Caenorhabditis elegans: one gene and its partners. The protein of the gene in region 3 purifies or fractionates together with the protein of the main gene of each other region. This does not show direct contact. Each region holds a gene or a part of one and is shown on either strand. Other genes may lie near its edges.

Region 1 (7,053 bases), on a different chromosome or scaffold from region 3:
CTGTCGGGTGAACTTGTCCGCCTGATTTGGACTACTTTTTTTTTAAAGCAGAGCTAGAGAAATTATAATAAAATTCAAGAAAAATGTATAGACCTAACAAATGGGAAATCAAGCGTCGGAAAAATTTAAGAAACCACTATTGATGAAACCCATAGCAAAGATTTTTGCGGCAAGGAAGCATAGAATTTAAAAAAAAATTTAAAAACTACTTCTAAACTAGAATACTTTTCCCATTAATATGAGTGGTTGAATCTTGATTAAATATGTGACATATAAGTCACCACAAAATTGAGCAAATACTCAAAACTACTTAATAGTTTTGTGAGTCACTTTTATAAACGTTCAAAACTTTCTTCAAAAATAATTTTCAAGTTCACCTATGTACCTTTAATATTTTCTAATTTACAAAAATCTAAACGAATATAAAAATGGATTAAACTTACATTTTGTTCTTCCACTGATTGACTTGGCATTTTCTTGAGCAACTTCTTTTTTCAGTAAAACAAATTTCAGATATGTGTGCTTAACTTTCAAAAGATATATCCTTGACTGTCTCCTTATTTTTTGAGCAATTTTGATAAGTTTAGCCAAAAAGTAAGTGGGCGCTCATTTTCGCGACAATCTTTGCTGTCTGCGTCTCTTCGTCTCACGTGCAATTTCGCTGTTCAAATATAAAACAATGCACACACATACAGAAAGGCTATTTTTGACAGGGAGCTCAAGTAAAATGGAGAAAAGCGAAGTTGTTCGGAAATTTTTTGAAATTCAAAAACCTAATGTCAACTTGTAAATACAACTGGGTGGTCAATGTTCAATAACAAACAGAGGGATATTTTGATTTTTGAATTGTGTTGGAATTTCAAAGAACGAAAACCATTTTACCAATTCAGATATTAACAGGAAAGTATGTAAAGAATATTTTCGAAGTCCATATTGACAGTTGATAACTGTTGACGTGGGTGAACCTGACCAAGCACATACATCCGCAAAGTTGGGACGGACGGGCTCTACGGAGTCCAAGTGACAACAATATCTACTTTCTAGACACAACATGACACTCTAAAAAAATCTGCTCAAATAAATTGAAGTTGGCAGAAAAAAAAAAATTTTACAGAAAAATGTTGTCAGAAAGTTGCAAAAGTTTGATAACATACTCACAAACCTTTTTCAAACAGGAATTTCATTAGATTCAGTATTACATTTTAAAATTAAACTCTCCAGATTTCCATGCATCTGCTGCGAAAGTAAATTACAGATTCTGAAAGCCGAAGATTTTAGCTCTCGCGCCAGGTTAAGTTTTATTTCATTCACATCTTATAGTTATCGTATTCCCGAGCAACGTGTTTATTTTCAATTAAACCTAAAAACTCCTTTTAAAATCAAACTTCAATTAGACATTCACTTGTTCTTATCAGCGGAAAAAGTTCAAAAACCTGGCTCTATCGACAGAAGTGAACTTTTCCATGAAAAATAGGCAATAACTTTAAAAACATAGCAGGTGGAGGGTGTAAAGGTTTTATGATTGGCGTATCAAACATTCAGAGCATCGAAAAAGATAATAACATGCACATTAGGCAATTGATTTCTGACGACGATCACACCGAACAATGTGTGGTATATTTGGGATTGTTGCCGCTGGAAATTATGAGCATTTGAATGTTCTTGCTGCAAATGGATTGGCTGCTCTTCAACACAGGTGGGGTTTTAAGTTTAAATTTTTAATAAGCTCTGTCTCAAAAAGTTTGATTTCATACATCTCCTACATTGGTTTCAGTTTGAATTTTTAACTGTTCAGCTCCTCATTCCTAAATATCTAATTTTTCAAAAAGCTCTCGTTTTCTCTTCCCGTTCATTCCGCTTCTGCTTAACTTAAGCCATCGTTCCACAAGAAGGCAAAAGTGTAAACTCCCTAATTGTATCCGAGCCAGTTTAGTCTGACTAGACGTCAATGGAGAAGTTATCAATTTTGCGTCAGAAATACGCTGAATCGCCAACATTAGAATCACGTTGCCAATTGGATGAAAATGACGCGTATGTAGAGATTGAACTGGCGTCTCGTGGGTCACAGCAAACAGCGCTAACCACTCGGACACACGACCAATAAAGTGCTTGTAGCGTTGCAGTGGTTGACATTGTTGCAAACAAGTAGATTGTGCAGTGATTTTGAGTTTGCAAAAAATCGAAATAGCTAAATGAATAAGTCTAGCATTTCTTGCAAATATTGTCTAGTTTCTAAATTGTTTTCCGTGCGTGATAGAAAAATAAAATACTAAAACAAATTAGTTGCAAATTTGCAATTCTTATCATGTATATTTTGCAGAGGAACTGAATCAACAGGACTCGTTGGTTCAGATGGAATCACTCGAGACCACGTGGAAATTATCAAAGGTCATGGACTTGTCCGAGATGTGATTACTGAAGATAATATCTCAAGAATGAATGGGCAATCGATAATAATTGGTCATAATAGGTATTCAACTGCAGGAAAGAAGAAGTCTGGAATCAATTGTGTACAACCATTTGTGGTATATACTGCAATGGGTACTGTAGCAATTGCTCATAATGGAGAATTGGTTGATGCGAAACAAAAAAGAAAGGAAGTACTTCATGAAGGTGTTGGTTTATCAACTGACACTGACTCAGAGCTTATTGCTCAAATGATTGCAAAAGCGATTGCTCTGAATGTAAAATGCAAGTATGGACAAGAGATGGGTGATATTACAAGAGTGAGTTTTTGAAAAACATGAAAATTCTTAAACCAAAAAACTTCAGGAGCTCGCAGTAACAATGTCTGCACTAAACATGTCATATTCTCTACTAGTAATGACATTTGATAGACTATACGCAATTCGTGATCCATTTGGAAATCGTCCACTTTGTGTTGGTACTGTATATTCTAAAAATGGAAATCCAGAAGCATTCATTGCATCTTCTGAATCTTGTGCATTTCCTGCAAATGCTAAATTAGATTTCGAAGTGAGACCAGGAGAAATTGTGGAATTATCGACAGGAGGAATCAAGTCGGTGTGGCAGGTAAACTTACATATATCTTGGCCTGCCTACGCGCCTACCTACCGCCTTCTCTGACCTCATTTTCTCATGTATGTATTTTGTTAGACATTAAAATTTAAAAAAGTGTTTTTAAAGTTTTGCAAATACATGTAGTTTTTAGACTTTCTGGTTATTTTTGGTATTTTCCAAAATTACAATCGAGACAGATGGGCTATGCTGAAAAATCAGAAACCTGGAATTATATGAGTCATTTCAGATGAAACCGAATACTCCTCTGGCTATGTGCATATTCGAATATGTCTATTTTGCACGAAATGATTCAGAAATTGAAGGACAACAAGTACAAACTGTTCGTGAAGAATGTGGAAAAACGATGGCTCTTGAAGATGATCTAGAAGCAGATATTGTTGGAAATGTTCCAGATTCTTCGCTGAGTGCAGCAATTGGATACGCTTCTCAGTCTGGAATCACATATGAACCTGTTTTACACAGAAATTCATATGTTGGAAGATCATTTATAGAACCAAATGATGAGATGAGACAAAATGCGATTAAAATGAAATTTGGTAAAATAAAGAAAACTATTTAGAAAGACTTCATGAATTCTATTTCAGGAGTATTGAAGAAAAAGATTCATGGACAAAGGATTGTGTTAGTAGATGATTCAATTGTACGTGGAAATACGATGAGAACTTTGGTAAAAATGTTAAGAGATGCTGGAGCAAAAGAGGTATTACCCTTGTTGTTAAAAATAATGATTTTTCACCTTATAAACCGTGAAAAAGGTCTTGACACGAGCAAAAATTTTCAGCTACCGTATAACGCGAGTAATTCTCCGTTTTTGCAGATTTTTCCAATACATATATTTGTTGTAAAACTGTGCATCTAGATGTTCAGCAAATATTAAGAAAACAATAGCGGAATACATAAAAACGAGAAACTGGAGTATACGGTAGAGTACGGTATCTTAGAAATTTCGATCGTGTCAAGACCGCATTATTCAAATAATACCTCTAAATTTAAAGGTTCATCTACGAATTGCTTCCCCGCCTGTAAAATTCCCATGTTTTATGGGAATCAACATTCCAACCACAAAGGAATTGATTGCTGCCGAAAAAACAATTCCAGAAATCTGCCAATTTGTTGGAGCCGATTCAGTACGGTATCTTTCGGTTGACGGTTTAGTTTCGGTGAGTTTGAACCTCACTTTCTCCTCAATTTAATTTTTTTTCAGTCTGTTCAAAAAGGAATCGAACGAGCTGCCAACTTCTCTCCAGGACATTGCACCGCATGTCTCACTGGAAAATATCCAGTTGCTATCGATTTATAATTAGTGTTTGAAAAGTTTGAATAGATTATTTGTATTCATGAAAAACAAAATCAATTCAATTAAAAATCAACAATGAATGTGTATAAAAATAAGAACAACAACAGTTTGCGGAAAAAAAATAAAATGATTAACAACAGAAATCAGGACGCTTACAAGCTCTTCTTCTTTCCACGAGATCTCAATGTTTTCTTTTCGACAGCAGCTGGACGGGCACTTGCAGCGACGGATTTGAGGATTGTCTGGAAAATTAATATAACCAAATTTTATTTAAAGTTTTTCGTACGTTGGATAGCGTAGATTTAGCCTGTGGAGTAGCAGCAGCAGCTGCCTTCTTTCCTGCGCGAGTTTTTGGAGTGAACTGTTTGGGTTCCGGCTTTTCAGTTTTAGGAGTCTTGATGACAACCTTTTTGGTGACTGGAGTGGAAACTTTCGGAGTTGCTTGTTTTGGAGTCACGGCCTTTGGAGTAGCTGCTTTTGGAGTTGCAGCTTTCACAATTTTCGGAGTCGTGCTTTTCGGGGTGACATCACTGATAAATTGAACCTCATTGTCAATGACCTTCTTAAGTGGCGTTCTTGGTGTTCCAGACACAGAGAAATCATAGTTGATCCCCATATTCTGCAGCTTCTTCAAAGTTTTGTTGAGATTTTGCACGCGTTTCTTGGCATTGATGACGTCATTTTTTCCGGTGGTATTGTTTCTGGCAATTGTATCTTTTTTAGCGATGCCCAAGTAAGATGGACGCATCACAAGCAGTGGGCCATGGCGCATTGCCTTCGGGATAAGTTCTGGTTTCATCACCTAAATTTAATAAGTTTTTCAAGGATATAATGGTAGAAGTTGACCTACCGTGCACCCGAGACGTTGCTCGAACATCAAGTAACCGTTCATTGATTCGGCAGCGATTTCAGCAACAGCCTTGTTGTCGAATCCAACGTACGCCCATCCCTTATGATTACCAGTCTAAAATAATGATTTAATACTATATTAACAGGTTGCTGAACCTACGCGTCTGTTTCTGGCCACACGAATTCTCAACACATTTCCGAACTGACGGAAATACCCGAGCAACTCCTTCTCGAAGAATCCAAACGGAATACGCTTAATCTTGACAACATAAATTTTCTTCAGCTGCTTTTTTTGGACTTTGTCTTGCTTCTGAGGTTGCTTGCGTCCTCCAGAACTGATCGAAGTTGGATTCTGGGCAACCATTGTGTCTGAGATCTGAAAAATGTGTATATTTCGTGCAATAAAAATTTTCAAAACAATATTTTGCAAATTATAAGAGTTTTCAGCTGTTCAAACATGAAAAATCAGGAAATAAGGTAGAAAAATTAGCTTTAAAATTTTGTGAGGGACAAAAGCAGTGTTACTGGCGCGTTTCTTCGTTGACGCAGTTTCCGTGCAAGGCGCATGTTTCGTGCTGAAGCGCACGCACACAAACATTTTTGTTGTTTCGTCGCATTTCTAAACTTTTTCATCCAATCAACCGATTTTTGATCTCTTATTCTTATCACGAAGGTCAATTATTATTCTAAACGGTTTAGACAATAAATACATACTTTCTATTTTCAAAACTCCAATCAGTTCCTACTTAACTTTTCGCTTTTATTCACTGCCTAATATCAGAGGTAGTTATGTACCGAGACGTAAAATTGTTCAATGTTTTTTAAAGTGTTTATATTTATCCTCTCTGTTCGACTCGTCGATCATTGAGTTTCGATGCGTTCTTTCTTAAATAATTACATTTCAAAACAACATTAACGTCTTTCCCGAAAAAGTCATTCTCCTTTTTGCTGTTTTTTAGATGCATTCATTTTTGTGTAGTGATTAATGATTCCCTTTCAATATTTCCAGATTCAATCGTGATATCGTTTTGATCTATGTTAGCATAAATAATCGTTTCCAATTTAGTTTATTTTTAGGAATGAGTGATTCGGACGACAATGCCTACAGCGATTATTTGGGAAATCGAAGAGCTGCTCTCCAAAAGAAGCGACAACCGGTACGAGTTTGTGAGAGCGACGACTCAGACGACGATTTCGATACCAGCGGTCCATCGCCAATGAGAAAAAAGACGCGGGAAACCCAACTCTTTCCGGACGACTCGGATGATGATGAATGCGTTGAAGTAGAGAAAGAAACATACTCCCAAAAAGTCAGACACGAAATTGATGATGTAGAAGAAGGTTAGTGTTATCATACTTTTTTATACAGCTCATACAAATATTTTAGCTTATCGTCGATCTATTTACAAGCGAGAGACCGTTATTCACGCACCAGTCGAGAAAAACAATGTTATTAGTGGACTGTTGAAAATCTGTGAAGGTTGGGACGAAGCTGCAAAATCAGGAGCACAACCGGAGGTTGAAGATGTGAAAGACGACTCAGACGCGGATGAATCAGTGAGAGGAAAAATTGTTTTTTTCTTAAATTTTGCTTATTTTTTAGAGCATTGCTGCTGAAAACTTTCCCGTCACAGTGGTTATTCTGGATTGTGAAAGTCACGGAAATGATATGAAATCTCGTCATGACATCTTTCTCGAATCGACGTTCTCTGAAATTAGAAGAATTTATGCGACGAAATGGGGATGCCCTGTATCTTGTGTAGTTTTCAGTCACAATGGCAAGACAATTGACACATACACGACACCACAAAGCTTGGGTTGGCGTCCGATGACACTACCACATCCACTCATTGAAGCAAGCAAGG
Region 2 (7,404 bases), 5.6 Mb from region 3:
GGTTACTTGTCGTTTTCTATTCTTTTCCGGATACAAGAAACAAACATTCATAGTGTGAGAGCAGTTGGACTAGGGCAGTACCTTGGACCCATAAAGCCACTGGGATTCCATATTTATCATCCATATGTCATTCTTGGTTCTTTCGTGGTCCGTTTGGTAATGACAACACTTGCTCCGATGGCAATGTACTCTTATGGATACAACAAGTTATATGTAAGTGATTATGATATTTTCTTTGATAATATGTTTATTACAGGCAAACGTGCTTAATGTACAACATAGAAACGCCGCCAGAACATCCCAAGGCCAGGCTGAATATGGTGATTATCGACGACGCTCCTACACAAGAGTCGATGGAAACAAGTTGTGCTGTGATGGTTATTTGCCACATATGGATGCCATTGCACTTTTAGTCATTGTTGCTGGAGCGATTGGTCCTACCATCTACGCTCTGTTGATTCTTTATCAGCATGAACAAAAAGCATTAATACTGACTTGCATCATAATTGACGTCGTCTACATGTTTTCATGGATTCTGATGTGGCTTGGAATGACCTTAAAAAGAGATTGGGATTTTAATGTTACGCATAAAGTTCATCAGTTCTATGGATTGAATGTAAGTTTGAACAATAAATTGATAGTGTCAAGCAGAATTATTTTCAGAAAGGAATGGCAATTGGACCAATTCGTGGAAATGAAAATCCATCTCAACTGAAAAACTCTATTCTTGTTGTTCATCGTGATACTGTAAGTACATATTAGTTCTTAAAAGTGAAACAAGCATTATTTTTTTAAAGATGTTTGTGACCGATGACCAAACAGCAAAACAATCGCTTCTTCGAGCAATTCACAGTGGAAAGTTTGAAATGATAAGTCCACCCGATGATGTGTACTGGAGGCAAGGTCAACAAAGTCCTGCAACTCGGGCGAAAATTCTCACCGAAGTTGACGGCGTTAAGAATAGTCCTGAAATGTCTAGATTGTTGAGAATGGGCACAGATGACACGCAACAAACGATGAGTTATCACTCAGTGAGTCTTTGTTTCACAACTATCCAATTTCGTAACCTAACATTTCCCAACATTATTTGTTTCAGAATGGTGGTCGTAACATAACTCAAGCTCAAATGACCAACTCCCAAATTTTGCAACGTGGAAACAGCTCACCACCAGGTCCTAGCCAGTTTGGAACCATACAACGCAACCAACAGCAATACAGCCAAATGGGCACACTACAACGCGGGCAAAGTGGCGGAACTCTTCAGCGTGGCGCCATGATTCACGACAACGTCTGGAATCAGTACTCGGCGATTCAAAAAAAAGACGAGCAGCAGCAACACATGCTGGGCCAACGGCGAGATAGTGGAGAGGCCGCATACGGAAGAGTTGATAGCACATACGGAAGTTACGCAAGAATTCCAAATGTGGTGGGTAGAATAAAACAGGAGTTGTTGTGAAATATGTGGTGCACTTTTGCAATCGTATGATTTAAGTTAGCAAAAACATTGGCTGATGATCGACTTAATAGTCAAACATTACATTGAGTCGATGTTTCATAATAACAAAAACTGATGATATCACGGTACATGCGTAATAACTGTACCTCAAAAAGTTTGTAAGTATCTCACAAAATATAACGTGACCCTAAACATAAGCCTGAAGCCTAAAAAACAATTGTATCATTCATTTGCCTGTTGACCATTACTGAACTTCATACGAAGCGAACATTTTAGGGTACAGCTACTAAATATAAGATACAAATTTCTGTAAAAATAGAATATTCTGAATTCCAGTCTCGAATCCAAGTAACCCCACAAGGAAGTCAAATTCGTGTAAACGGTTACGGAGGGCTACAACAAAACACACTTCAGAGACGTGAAGTCACACCTACACAACATTCTCAACAACCATCATTAAGCTCAATCCGCCAGTCTCCACTTTTATCAGACCGCTCTGGGATAAACGTGCCTCCGCCACAACCTCTTGTCAGCAGGTATCTTGGCAAACTTTATGTTCAACATTTCGATATAATTTTTGAAAAATTCAGGGAACAGTCTCCTTATCAACGGTCTGCGATCAAACTTTCTTCGTTCTCCGAGAACAAGGGTAGTGGAATATATGGAACAAGTGGTATTGGATCAGGAAATAATGTTCAATGGGGAGGTGCTCAACGAGCGGCACCTGGGCAACCAGGTCAATTGCTATGGAACCCTCCAGGAGCTACAAACGGACACAATAAGGTTATTTTATCTATTTGAGTTGTTGTATTCGAGCTTTTCTCTCATTATTTCAATTTTTTGCACGATGAGTTATTTATTCATTCACATTTTCGGCACACATCTCATTCTAACATCCACATCCATTGCAGTCATCGCTAACCAGCACAACAAATTCATCTCAAAACGATGAGCAATGCTTTACCCCGACTTCAACACTAACAAGTCACGGAAGTAACTACACTCCAACACCTGGATCTCCACAAGGATCCAATCCGATCTATTCCCGAATCAATGGAGCATCTTCCACATCGTCAAATCTTTACGGAGTTGCTTCCAAAGAAAGTCAATATGCTGACAGGACACTTCAAAAAGCACCGATCAAATCTACAACAGTGACGACTGGAAATACAATACTTCGTTCCGTGAACGGAACAGATGACACTGTATCAAGCTTTTCTCGTCCACCCACTGGAGCACTTAACCAAAATGACTTTGCTACCAGCATTGTGTGAATATTTGTTTTACATTTTTGGTAGGTCTTAATTCAAAAGTAACTAGAAATGTTTACAAATTCAAAATTTTCAAACGGAATGATTGCAACTCTGAAATATAGAAATCATCAAAAAAATTGAAACAATTGAAAGCGATATCATAACTATCTGCATCGAATTATGAAAAAAAAACCGAGATATTTTACTATTAATTTACAAAAATGTTATGATTCACCGTATTTCCTCTATTAGTATTGCATTACCCTTTAAATAGAAATAAGGAACACGATTAAACCGAAATTGTATATCATGTAACCTGATCATGTAAGCCTAATAAAATTAGTTCAGAAAACGGTTTCAAAGCCCATATAATTTTAGGATGAAATTGATAAGTTTCACTGTTCACAGAGTTTGCATTCTTAACTTTTGACAAAGATACATTTTACAGGAACCCTACTGATCCCGATGAACTATTCCCCCAATTAACACATGAACCAAATCAACTCCGTGACAATGCACTTCTTCTCGCCAAACACTTAAACAGTTAACCGCCAAACAAACACATCATCCCACTATAATTGTTGAAATTCATTTTTTATTTTTCTCTATAATTTCGGTCTTGATTTGCAAATTGCTGAAAACGGACTGAATTCTACTGTTTATGGAACAATTTCCTCGCCACTTTCTTTGATTTTCGACCCTTGTAAGTAAGCGCGTAATAATTGCCTCCCGCATTTTTATGTATAACTGATAATTTCTTCTTACGTTTTTCTACTCCTCCTCCCTTTTTTCATGTCACCCCACACCAAAAATCATCAAAAATCGTTTCCTTTGTTACTGTACTATATTCCCGTTGGATATCGGGTACATTTCTTTGAATTTCCACAATTTCTCTGAACATTTTGTCATAATTCGTTTTATTGTTTGTCAACCCCATTTGACCACATTCTTTGTTTCAATATTTTCTTTCTCAGATTTTATTGAAATCAAATTTCAAAAAAAAAAAATCACTAATAAAGAGCAAACAAATTTAAAAGTATCAAGGAATATAAGAATATGTTATTGAAATATGATGTAAACAGTTTTATCTCAAATAGAGTTTTATAATCAGACAGAGTAAAGAACTCAAAGATTCCGGATTATCGGGTTATCAGTGGGTTATAAAAGTGGGCGGGACAGTGTCATGCGATTCAAGTTTTCGTCGGGCTGAGCACTTAAAATTTCCTTGTTGAAAGTCTGTATAAAATGAACGAGACAATCGTTATGATAACAGCACTTTAACTCTTCCCTTATCTTTCGGAATTTTCATTCATTTCATTCATGACAAACTTGCAGACTGCTGATTTCTTGATAAGGTTAGAATGTCGTTTTTATATTATTTTCTTTTTAGAATGAAGACCACCTTCTGCCTTCTGGCCCTTGTCGCCGTCGCTACCGCTTTGGCTCTCCCAAGCCAACAGGACAATGCCATGAGCTGCCTCATGTGCGAGGTCGGAGTCCGTGCTGCTGAAAACCCAGCTGACAGAGAAGCTCACACCGTTGAGGACGTAAGTAGTCAAACTGTTCGTTTGGTCATTATAGTGAATATGATTTTAGAAATTTGACGCCGAATGCAAGAAGGAACTTGGAATCATTCCATTTGCCGAGAAGGAATGTGAGAAGTACGGAAACTCCAAGCTTGACCCCATCATCAACGAGCTCGAGGGAGGAACTGCTCCAGAAGATGTCTGCAAAAAGCTCAAGGAGTGCTAATTCTTTATGTTTCTTTTTCTTCTGATAAAGTGTGAATGACCTTTGAAATTGTTTATTCAGATATGAACTTCAAATTGTCAAATATCAGCGCGCCTGAAACTGATAAATCTCACTAACTCTGAACAAAACTGACTTTTCGTGAGAGGAAGAGCAAAGTTAACTACAGTGGCAATCAAAGCTATAGACGTTGACTACCAAAAAGTGTCGATTCGGCTCTAACGTGACAACTTCTTGTTAGCTCCAAATTGAAAGCTGAAATAAACTTTTTTCGTATAAGGTTATCAGGTTATTTTCTACGCAAGTGTAGCTTGAATTGTAACAATTCAAGCCTACATATGTCAAAAATTAATAAACCGCGTTTAAAATAAAATTTTACCTAAACATTTAAATCTGAAAGATGAAGTAAACTCCGATGATCAATGTTTTTTTTCAGTAAACGTTTGAATTTTTTCACGTTCTTTGGTTGAAAATTTGAATCAAACGATTTTAATAAATCTCGACAAAACTTTGTCAGTGAATGCATTTATCTTTTGAAACAGGCAGAGGTTGTCCTGTTGGTAAGCAGGCTTGAATACCTATTCCAAAATCATTCTTGATTTTTGGTTTGGTAAATGATGTGACACTTCGTTTTCACATATTCAGTCATTTTGTAATGTGTTCTATGAAAAAACACAATTAAGGAAATAAGATCTGTTAATGGCTAAAGTCACACATGTCACACCAACTATAAAAAAAATACAGTTATTATATTCCACAAAATCTCTAGTAACCGTTTCTGTTTAAAAAACTATGTTTACAATTTCGGTTTTTTTTTTGTTTTTTTTTTGTTTACAAACCTCAAATTGTTCTCGTTGCACTTCACATTTAGTGAATAACTTAGAGAAAGAAATACAACAACAAAAAAACAAAACTTTATCACATAAGGTACTCTTGTGGATATTCGAATGTAAAACTTGCTGTTTCCTGCATGTCATTTGAGAGATAAAATTGTCACCTGAAATATACAATTCTTTGATATGTTAAAACAAAGTGCACTAGCCTTTATGCTCGACTGAAAAATTGAATCAACAATTATAAATAGCAACCGTCTTGTAAAACAATTTTGCGACTTAAATATATAACCTTGAAATAAATTAAATGGCTGAAACTTCAAAGTTTTCAACTTCATCACTACAAAAAAGTTTTTAAAAAAGTACTTTGAAAAAATTGGCTATTAGTTGTTAGCATTACACTTGAAATACTTGTCCTCCACAAAACAAAATTTCTCCGCAATTGTCATAACACTTGTCATAACACTACTATCAATTGCATAAAGACAATTTGTGCATGGTCAATCAAAGTTTGATGAAACACGTAGAAATACAAAAAATTCACATTTGATAGAAGCTATTTCTGAGATTCAGCGATAATAAAGTGAAAAATTATTGAGCAACTGTCAATGTGCCAAATTAAAGCCTTATCAGTGCGCTAAATGTTGCAAACCCTTCATTTCAATTCAGAAAATGCCAATCGAAGGTTGTATATAAGGTTACCTGTGAAGAGGAAATTCATTGTCCAATCATGAGGTCGATTATTATCGCATCTATAGTGGCTTTGGCCATTGCTTTCTCCCCAGCTTTCGAGCGCACATTTGAGCCGAAAATCGACTATCATTACAAGTTCGACGGACTTGTTCTTTCCGGCCTTCCAACTGCTTCCTCTGAGCTCTCCCAATCTCGTTTTTCTGCTCGTGTCCGTATTCAAGCTGTCGATGACCGTCACATTCACCTTCAACTTGTGAATATTCACATGGCCGCTTCCCACCTCCCAGAGTCCGAGCAGATTCCATCCTTGAACTCCATGGAGCAGCGCGAACTCTCCGAGGAGTACAAGCAAATGCTCAAACTCCCACTCCGTGCTCAACTCAGAAATGGACTCATCGCCGAGCTCCAATTCGACAAGGAAGATGCTGAATGGTCAAAGAACATGAAGAGAGCTGTTGTCAACATGATCTCATTCAACCCAATTGCTCCAAGAAACGAGATTGAGAAAATCGAATCTTCTTATGACAAGGAGGAACAATCTGAGGAAAACACTTCTTTCTTCACCAACGAGAAGACCCTTGAAGGAGACTGCCAAGTCGCCTACACTGTCATCCGTGAGCAGAAGAAGACCATCATCACCAAGTCCATCAACTTTGACAAGTGCACCGAACGTTCCGAGATCGCTTACGGACTTCGTTACTCTTCCGAGTGCCCAGAATGCGAGAAGGACACCGTGCTCATCCGCCCACAAACTGTCTACACCTACATTTTGGAAAACGAAGAGCTTAAAGAATCCGAGGTCCGCTCCCTTTACACTGTCAACGTTAACGGACAAGAAGTCATGAAGACTGAAACCCGCTCAAAGCTTGTTCTTGAGGAGAACCACTCCATCAAAAGTCACATAGAGAAGGTACGTTAATCCATAACTTTTACAGTATGTTCTAAGACAAATATTCTTTCAGGTCAATGGAGAGAAGGAAAGCATCATCTACTCTTCCCGTTGGGAGCAACTCGTTGAAGACTTCTTCAAGAATGGAGATAAGGCTGAGTTCGCCCCATTCGAGAAGTTCCCACTTGACAAGAAGATGCACTTGATCAAGACTATCACTGAGCAAATACAAGAAGTCGAGAACAACATCCCAGAGACCTCCCACTTCCTTGCGCGTCTTGTCCGCATTTTCCGCACCACCTCCACCTCCCAACTTAAAGAGATCCACGAGACTCTTTACGTCAAGGCTGACAAGAAGGTATACATTTTTAGTTCATTTTATAATTTACCTTGCAATATTCAGATCCAATCTTTGATGGAGCACGCTCTCGCTATTGCTGGAACCAAGAACACCATTCAACACATTCTTGTTCACATCGAGAACGAGGACATCGTTCCACTCGAGGCCGCTCAACTTCTTAAGTCCATCCA
Region 3 (8,560 bases):
AATATCTTCAATTTTTTCTGAAAACATGTTTTTCAAATAATTCTCATGTTTAAATATATTGAAATAAAATTCCTAAAAAGGCTCACTTTAACTAACGCATATTTAGTAATCAGCTTGAATCATCCAACTTGTATGTTGTAGCTTGATACTTGGTATTAGGAAAATTAAACTTTGGGGATTTGATGGTTAATTTTGTATGCTTCTTTGAGCTGTTTCTGTTATATTTATAGAATCTTGATGGTCAAACTAATTATGAAATTCACTTGGTCACTGAAAGGGAATTTTGGAAAATAAGTGTGGAAAATAAGTTAATGTTAATTGCCTGCGAACTTCATTTAAATTTTATCACACTACAATTTAAAAATTCATTTTATAACAAATGTACATGAATATGTACATCGGTTCCGCTATAACTTCTATTGTTTCTTCCAAAAAAAAAATCGAATAAAAACGCCACGAAAAACATGATACAACCACAAAACACAAAGAATACAAGATATAGTCAACGTCACTACCACATTCTTCAAAGATATGTGACAGCGTTGATGGTTTAATCATTTGATTTGTTTCGGTGCAAACAGATGAAAAACAGATGCGTTAAAGAATGCGCCCATTTTTGTTAATGAATGAGTCATATGTCATATGTCAATTTGGCAAACGGTACTATTTTTGACAAATTGTCAGTTGATTTGAGATATAGAAGGCCGGTTTGAACAGATTCTATGACAGGCAAAAACCAAAAACAAAAAAAAAACATACTAGGGAATATGTTTTATTGGAATTTTGAAAACACTATGTATGGATTTATTGGAATTGTTATTATAATAGCAATAATAACAGTAACAAAACTTAATTAACTAGCTTGGCTAATTAAGCAGAAATGTACTTGCAGCGTTTGTTATCAGAATGCCAATTGTTAGCAATTTATTTGAATGAAACTTCCGGTGTCATCTGACACGAGCATGTGAAAAATGAATGACCCAGTTGGCAAAAAAATTTTGTCTAACTTTTGTCCATATGAATTTCAATGTGACAAGACGTTTTACACATTTATATTACTCAAAGTGATCATAATTTTTAGATAAAGTTTCAATTTTTAATACAAATTCAAATTGGTAGAATTGGTAGAAAACTCAGAAACGTTTGAAATGTTCTGCTAAATTTTTTGTCATTTTTCAACATGCTTTCGGATTCCTTAAATTAAAATGTTGTTGTGACATAAAACGTGTGGCATCTAGCATGAATGTTTCCCCTGGTTTGTTTTTCCAAAAAACAAAAAAAAAACACAATCTCATTTATATTTTAACGATTTAATAATCGATTCAAAGTCCACCAAAAAATTGACATGACTTTTATCCATTTAAATATGCCTGATAGGAACAATTCTCAACAAGAATTATTGAAATCTGAATTTCTTGCTGGAAATTTCGGAAATAATTGTTTCTCAGTAGAAAATGTTTCCTTTCCATTCTATCCAACACCAATAAATCAACAAACAGTGAAAGAAGCAATGCAATGAAATAAAATGACTATGAAGAAACAATTGCGTGTGGCGCGTTTACAGTGCCTTCGGAAAGATACTTAGAAGAGAGTGCGGGAACATATTGCAAGAATTGAGGGGAATTGAAAGAATCAGGAAGCAAATCTCATTAAGCATACGCCCAGATAATGCATAATGGTGGCTTGGGTTCCAGGCAGTTATAGGAAAAGTAGGCAAAGCTCTTGAAGAGAGAAGTGAAAAAAATTATCTGTGCAATTCTCAATGGTAATTGCAAAAAATAAAAATGTCATTAATAAGGCAGGTTTGTAAAAAACAATGTTACTACTTGCAAAATATTTCCACCGATGCAGAATTGAAATGTTGTCATTTTTAGTATCGACACCATGAAAGTTGAATTTTGCTAACATCTCAAATTATGTCAATTTTTCGTTATCCCAATCTTTCATCTTTATAATTTATTTTGGTCCCCTAGTTATCTAAAATTGATTTATGAATAACTGAATAACCCTAGATTGACATGAAAACGCATACTAAACTGATAGAAATTGCATTATTTTTTTTTTGAAACTTTTACACTTCCCGGTTCATCCGTTTGTTGGTGGTATAATTTCTGTTTAAAAAAACACTTTAAAAGTTTTTTTCGAATTTTTATGGAGTGAATATCTTTTAAAAGTAGTGCAAACTTTGTTTAAATGGACTCCAGCAACAAAAAGTAAAAGGCGAATGGACACTGAAGTAAGTTAATTATCGTTTTAGTTTCGGTTTTTGAAATGGCTTCTTTCAGAAAAAAAAAACGCACTCATATCCTAAAAAGTGTTTTTCATAATAAACAAAAATTATAGTTTCTTCTGTTTTTTTAAATATAAATGTCACTCTAAAATTTTAACAAATTGTTCAGGCAGTTAAAGGAGGACTAACGGTTCGGACGATTTTGAACGTATCGACCCAAAATGGGCCCAAATGAACGAATTTTGTAATGAAATTGCTCAAAAAATTTTCAAAAATGTTTTATGGCGGTTCAAAATTTCGAAAAAATGACACTGATTTTAGCCAAAATCTCGAATTTTGCCCATTTTTCCGTGTCACATCTGTCCGAAATTGCTTTTATCATCCTTTATTGCAAAAATCATCAAAATTGGTTAGCTATCGGCTTTAAATGTACCTTAATCAAGGAAATTAAATGAGATAAACTACCAATATATGCAATAAAGGGTGATAATTCCAAAAAAGCAATTTCGGACAGATGTGACACGGAAAAATGGGCAAAATTAGAGATTTTAGCTAAAATCAGCGTCATTTTTTCGAAATTTTGAACCGCCATAAAAAATTTATGAAAATTGTTTGAGCAGTTTCATTACGAAATTCGTTCATTTGGGCCCATTTTTGGCTTATACGTTCAAAATCGTCCGAACCGTTAGTCCTCCTTTAAACATAATTTCGAAATCAAATATTATTTTTGAAAAACATGAAAATGCCAATCAAAATCTCATATTGTTTCGTTTGGTGTACGGTAACTTTTATTTTTGTTGTTTCAATTTAGCAGCCTTGTTTTAATCAAGAAAATAACTCATGAAAACGTGAAATTAGTTATTCGCACTTCTCGTGCGAGATTAAACAAGTGACATTTTTGCAAATAAAAAATTATTTTCGAGATTAGATTTTCGGCCAGAAAAGTTTTACGGCGGTATAAAACATAATTTGATAGTGCTGCAGCCGCACATATTGTGAAGAAAATAACAAAAAAAAAACAAAATAATTGCCAGTGAAATATCAATTATAATTGACTTTCATTTGACTTTATGATCTGGAACATCTTGTTATCGTCATTGAGCTGCAAGCTACTCCTGAACAACTTTCGTAGTTCTGAAATTGCAGGATAAATTTTTTTTCAGTGAACATACATAGCAGACTGAGCTGTTGGCACGAAAACCGGCAACTGTCGATTTTTTTCCTACCGCTTGTTCAAAAACTGTGAAAAAAACAAAACTTTAAAAACAGAATGGCGCCAGTTAGAATAAGCATACAAGTGCAAAAATTACTATTCAAAAAATGAAAGGTTGTGTTATTTTGAGAGTAGTCAAGTGGTGAATGAATACTTCAATTAAATTTTGAAATTATACGCAAATCATGCGACGGCACTGACCAATCAGCGTTACGTAAAGGAGACGACATACTTCGGTGATTGGTTGGCGGTTTCCTGAATAACACGTGTTTCAAAATTACATTGACATATTTACGGTTTGTCCAAATTCGTAAAATTGGCACTCTTGATCATATTTCTTTGCCTGTTTTTTTTGGCATTTTTCAGAGCGAGCTTCAAAAAAAACTATTCAAATTTTGCCACGCTTTTAATATTATTCACTTTTTCATTTAAATTTTAGATCAATTATAAATGGTTATTATTGAGTGATAACAATATACTTTTTCTAAACACGAATAAGATTTTTTTTTCGAAAATAGGTACCTTTATATGTTTCAAAAGTGTTGAATCACACGTGTTGCCAATCTGAAAATGGGATGGTATCTTCTTATTGACACAAGGTGAATTCAAAAATTTTCCTAACGTCACTGATAACACAACCGACCATTGAGTTTTATTACCTCGATTTTCACTTGCTCGCGTTTTTCACAGGACACGCAGGTTTGACTAATAATGCTAGCTAGAGCTTCTCTTCATTCAAATGGTGTGGATATGCATACCGCTGAGTATGCTGATTATAAAAAGGTGGGTCTTGAAATTGATTCAATTTTCTAATAAATTGTACAGCTAATGAGAAAATTGGAGTATTATAAAACTATGTTTAGGCTGAAGTCACATCTCATCATGCTCGAGACATAGTGCATATTAACGCAGGCGGCACAAGGTTAGTTGGGAATTGAGAACATGAGATCTGAGAATTTAACGAAGGCTTCAGATTTACTACACTTTACGACACTTTGGCACAGTCAAAGTCGTCATATTTCCTCAACTTTATCCGCATCGACCGCACCAGTGGAAAAATTGTGCTTCTTCAACAGAGAACTATTGTGGGTGACAATCTAGAAATAAATATACATACTAATGAGGATGCAGAATTTTTTAATTGGAGACTATTAGGTTATCTAGAAGCTAGCTGAAAGCCTAAATCCTACTGAAAAAACTTCCAACAATTTTTACTTGTGCTTTTTTCAGAATTATTTTTCTGAATTTCAAGAGAATGCTTTTAATCCTCATAGCTCTCTCTAAAAAAATTTCAATACAAATTTCAGCGTGATGAGTCAGGAGCAATCTTCGTGAACCGGGACGGGCGTCTGTTTGCATTCGTTCTGCAATTTATGAGAGACGGAAAGAACACTGTCCTGCCAAAAGATAAAGACGTGTTAGCACAGCTCAAAGTAGGTGTTTCATGTTTAATTTCATCGCCTTCTTAACCATGCGTTGTCATTGATAAGCACAGTTGCTTGTTTACTAGAGGTACACCGAGGTGTGCCTTGTGTTTTATGGGTATTTATGTGTTGGCGATTGTGTGTCACGAATATTGGTATACCTAATCAATTGGCATGGGTAGAGAAAATTAAGTTATACAATTTAGTCATGTGCAGTTACTATTTTATGATATTGTTAAGGAAAAACAATATGTTTTGAAAAATTGTTTTTTCCAGGAAATATCATTCAAAAATTAATTCAAAGTGCAATATGGAAAAAAAACCAACAAATACAAGATTAACACTAATGTCAACTATGTCAACAATCATAAAAAATAGAAACTATGAGATTTATGCAAAAAATGTGTAGCATACATAAGTGTGTATATTAAATGAATCTTGAAACACCAAATCAATTTATTGAAAACAATCACAACTTTTAATTTGAAAATAACTCCAATGATGTATGAATTGACAATACATATAAACTTCCCTTATTTTTTCCAGCGAGAAGCAGACTTCTTTGGCATGGAGGTATTCAAGTACCTAATTCAAGAGACACTTGTTGACATTGAAAAGGAACAACGTGCCAACACCAATGATATTGTGGATATTCGCAATTCGGTGAACCAAATTGCGAACAACACGTACTACAATAATGGAGGACGCATTTGAAGTTTACTTCCTCTTTCTGAATAACTTTGTTAATGACCATGAAATAACGGAAATAAAGTGCAAAATTGTGTGTACTTCTGAACGAACTTGTTGAATTTGGTGTTCGTTGAAAATTGACTTGGGGGATGGAGTAATCATATTCAAATTATTTTTAGTGATCCTTGTGAGAACATTTGAAACCAAAAAGATGTGCTTAAAATTCTGAACACTTTTAAATTAAGAAAAATCGGTAGAATCGAGTTATCGAAAATCAAAACGTCTTACTAAACTTCAATTACATTAGCCATAAAAAACTATAGAAAATATCGATTTTCAAAAACTAAATTATATTCAATCTTTTACAGATTTCTGAAAACCAAGTCAAAACTGATAAAAGATACAACTCGGAAAATTGCTCTAAATCAGCAATGTGGAGAAAAATATTTCGTTTAATATTTTTGATTGGGGGGGGGGACTTTATTGGTTGTCCTGAATCTCTCTCGAAAGTTAGTTTCCTCGCATAAATTAGTCTTGCGCTCTTAATTAGCATTGTTTCTGAGCAATTTTTTGTGTCTTGAAGCCTGCGTCGCTGCAGTTGCAACTGAAAACTAATACAGATGTTTTCGTGTACTGTTTATTTTTTGCCTGCAGTTAAAATAGATCTATTTACTTGTTTTGTGCAGACTTAAAAAAGTAACAATGTTCTGTTCAGTGTGCTCAATAGGTAAACAACTTTTTTTGAAAGTTTGTTGAAAGATACTTAAAAAATTCGAGCTCCATGTGAACATGCGCTATGAAACGTTATCTTGCCATGAATTAATCGTTATTATTATTAAAAATTCTTTTGATTTTTTTAAACTTTTGAAAACTATTAAAAATACATAAACATTTGCAAATATTTTGCAATAAAACTCTTTAAGACTTAAGTTTCTACGACTGCAGTTAAAACTATTTACAACGAAATATTTACAAGATGTGACCCGGAACCCGGAACATTTTGCCACGTTTAATATCAAAGCACGATCATTGAGCACCATGTTGACCAGCATGGTACGTGTAATATTTTTACACGCTTCGTTGGAGACAAATTACATGATGAAGTTTATTTATTTTGATAATCAACCAGTCGGATAATTTCGAAAATATACGATTTTGATCTAAACCCAAATTTTTCAGAATGTGCGCAAGTTCAGTTTCAGAGGTTCCGTTCTACTTCCCTGTACATTTTTTTTTCTGCGAATCACACTATTATATCTAACTCATAAAACCCTTTATTTAGTGGGCGCTTTTGCGAATAGGAGAAATTGTTCTCAGAATCCAATAGTTTCGAACACATTTTTATCACTGTCACGCAATTCAGCATGATTCAATTTCTGTCACGTTTTTCTCGCATTTCAGTCTATATCCCTTTTCAGCAGTTGTGACTCTACATTCTCTCCTAATCGAATTTGAAGCGTTCAACAATTTTCGATAAAATGACACCGAAGTATCAACTGTTTTTAATTTTTATGATAATACTTCAAACAATGTGCATGCTTTACAACATTGTGCTCCTCACAGCAACAATAATAAATCGTCGGAACGGTAGTTTTTGAATTTTAGGAGTCAATTACATTCAATTAATTTTTAAGCTGCACTCCCACTGGCCTATATTGTTTTAATGAGCATTCCCGGAATTCTAATTACAGTTTTCCTTAATGTTAATGTAGCTGCTTTTGCCTTCCTTACTGAGGAAGAATATGAAAGTGAGTTGCCTGTGGAGAGTTCTGAAAACATATTCGAACATTTGACGTTTCTAGACTATCTGACAGCATTTGGTGCTCAATTTAGTCTTGGAGCCACATTTTCGTATTTCCATTCTCTTTGCATTTCTGTGCTAATGACAGTCAATCGATTGGCTATTATACTCAACCCATTCTCTGAGATGTTCACACAACGACGACTTTTCGGATATGCTGCCGTTATTGCAATTGTAGTGCTCATATCATTACTTATTCCATACTTTACACCGTGTCGTATTATTTTCATGTTGAATCATTTGTCATTTATATCTGCGTGTGACCCAGAACGACATCCGGTTAGTCAAAATCTGAGCATTGTAATCATTTTTGTTCGAATTCCGTCAAAGGAGATCAAATGTTTACTGCCTTAAAAAATGTTACATTAAATTTCAATTCAACGTGCCAAGTGCGTGTCGCGTTTGAATATGCCAAAAGAATGGGCCGAACCGGGGATTGAACCCGGGACCTCTCGCACCCAAAGCGAGAATCATACCACTAGACCATTCGGCCATGGGAAAGCTTTTCCTTCCGAAAAGAGAAACGATTAGACACTTGCTTCTCTTTTTGGGGGAAGAGAACAATGAATAGCGCCAGTGTTTGCTTTTGAGAGAAAGCAGTTCTCATGAAAAAAGGAGAAACTTCCTAAGATTGCAGATCACAGTTTTCCAAAACCAATATGCTATTCTACTTCCATTTACATGTATGTTTGTCAACTTGGCTATTATCTTGCATCTGCGTTTCGCACGGAATGACACATACGTAAAATTTAAAAAGTTCTTTACCAAAAGTAAGTGAAAGTTTTGTTTAAAAAAAATTTTCTACCTAATTAAATTAAGATCATCACATCAGCGCCGTTCCAACTGTCAAGGCTGCAGAACAGAGCAACTTGTCGAAAATTCAAGCTCGCAGAGACCTGATCATGATGAGGCAAACAGTGGCAATTGCTGTTTATTTGTCTATTTATGAACTTGGAGCGTTTATCACAAAATGTTTTCCGGTAAGAAGTCTAGTCTAACATATGTTTTAATATGCTGCAACGGTACATTATTTTTAGACTGTTTTCGCTAGTTTACCTGAAGTTGTGAGAGAAGGATACTTTTACTTCCGCTTGGAGTCGATTCCGATGATGAATTTTTTCATCTACTATCTAGAAACACCAAGTACCCGAAGGATGATTCGTCGGTTTTTGAATCTGAAAAATAATAATGACAGCACGGCT

The links.
Region 1: the proteins of F46G10.1 (region 3) and ppat-1 fractionate together in Caenorhabditis elegans (co-fractionation; one large-scale study listed by BioGRID). This does not show direct contact.
Region 2: the proteins of F46G10.1 (region 3) and spp-14 fractionate together in Caenorhabditis elegans (co-fractionation; one large-scale study listed by BioGRID). This does not show direct contact.

Annotation. Positions count from the first base shown.
Region 1 is NC_003281.10:4,687,738-4,694,790, forward strand, and holds ppat-1 (Amidophosphoribosyltransferase), read left to right. Parts: upstream 1-1,542; 5' UTR 1,543-1,607; coding exon 1,608-1,696; intron 1,697-1,896; exon of another isoform or gene 1,897-2,034; intron 2,035-2,320; coding exon 2,321-2,726; intron 2,727-2,772; coding exon 2,773-3,033; intron 3,034-3,268; coding exon 3,269-3,578; intron 3,579-3,626; coding exon 3,627-3,742; intron 3,743-4,037; coding exon 4,038-4,202; intron 4,203-4,246; coding exon 4,247-4,342; 3' UTR 4,343-4,434; downstream 4,435-7,053. Other genes in the region: tag-243 (Costars domain-containing protein), read right to left, coding at 444-473; nifk-1 (RRM domain-containing protein), read right to left, coding at 4,492-4,581, 4,626-5,141, 5,190-5,303, 5,349-5,552; T04A8.8 (Rad60/SUMO-like domain-containing protein), read left to right, coding at 6,268-6,529, 6,576-6,745, 6,792-7,053.
Region 2 is NC_003284.9:7,721,880-7,729,283, forward strand, and holds spp-14 (Saposin B-type domain-containing protein), read left to right. Parts: upstream 1-4,099; 5' UTR 4,100-4,100; coding exon 4,101-4,256; intron 4,257-4,305; coding exon 4,306-4,461; 3' UTR 4,462-4,504; downstream 4,505-7,404. Other genes in the region: K09F5.6 (Protein tincar), read left to right, coding at 1-213, 257-616, 664-747, 798-1,031, 1,097-1,426, 1,793-1,992, 2,047-2,239, 2,368-2,730; vit-1 (Vitellogenin-1), read left to right, coding at 6,022-6,894, 6,947-7,231, 7,277-7,404.
Region 3 is NC_003284.9:13,307,321-13,315,880, reverse strand, and holds F46G10.1 (BTB domain-containing protein), read left to right. Parts: upstream 1-4,125; 5' UTR 4,126-4,154; coding exon 4,155-4,226; intron 4,227-4,306; coding exon 4,307-4,365; intron 4,366-4,409; exon of another isoform or gene 4,410-4,416; coding exon 4,417-4,528; intron 4,529-4,750; coding exon 4,751-4,876; intron 4,877-5,413; coding exon 5,414-5,581; 3' UTR 5,582-5,654; downstream 5,655-8,560. Other genes in the region: srxa-8 (G_PROTEIN_RECEP_F1_2 domain-containing protein), read left to right, coding at 7,036-7,144, 7,192-7,305, 7,360-7,637, 7,996-8,128, 8,178-8,338, 8,396-8,560.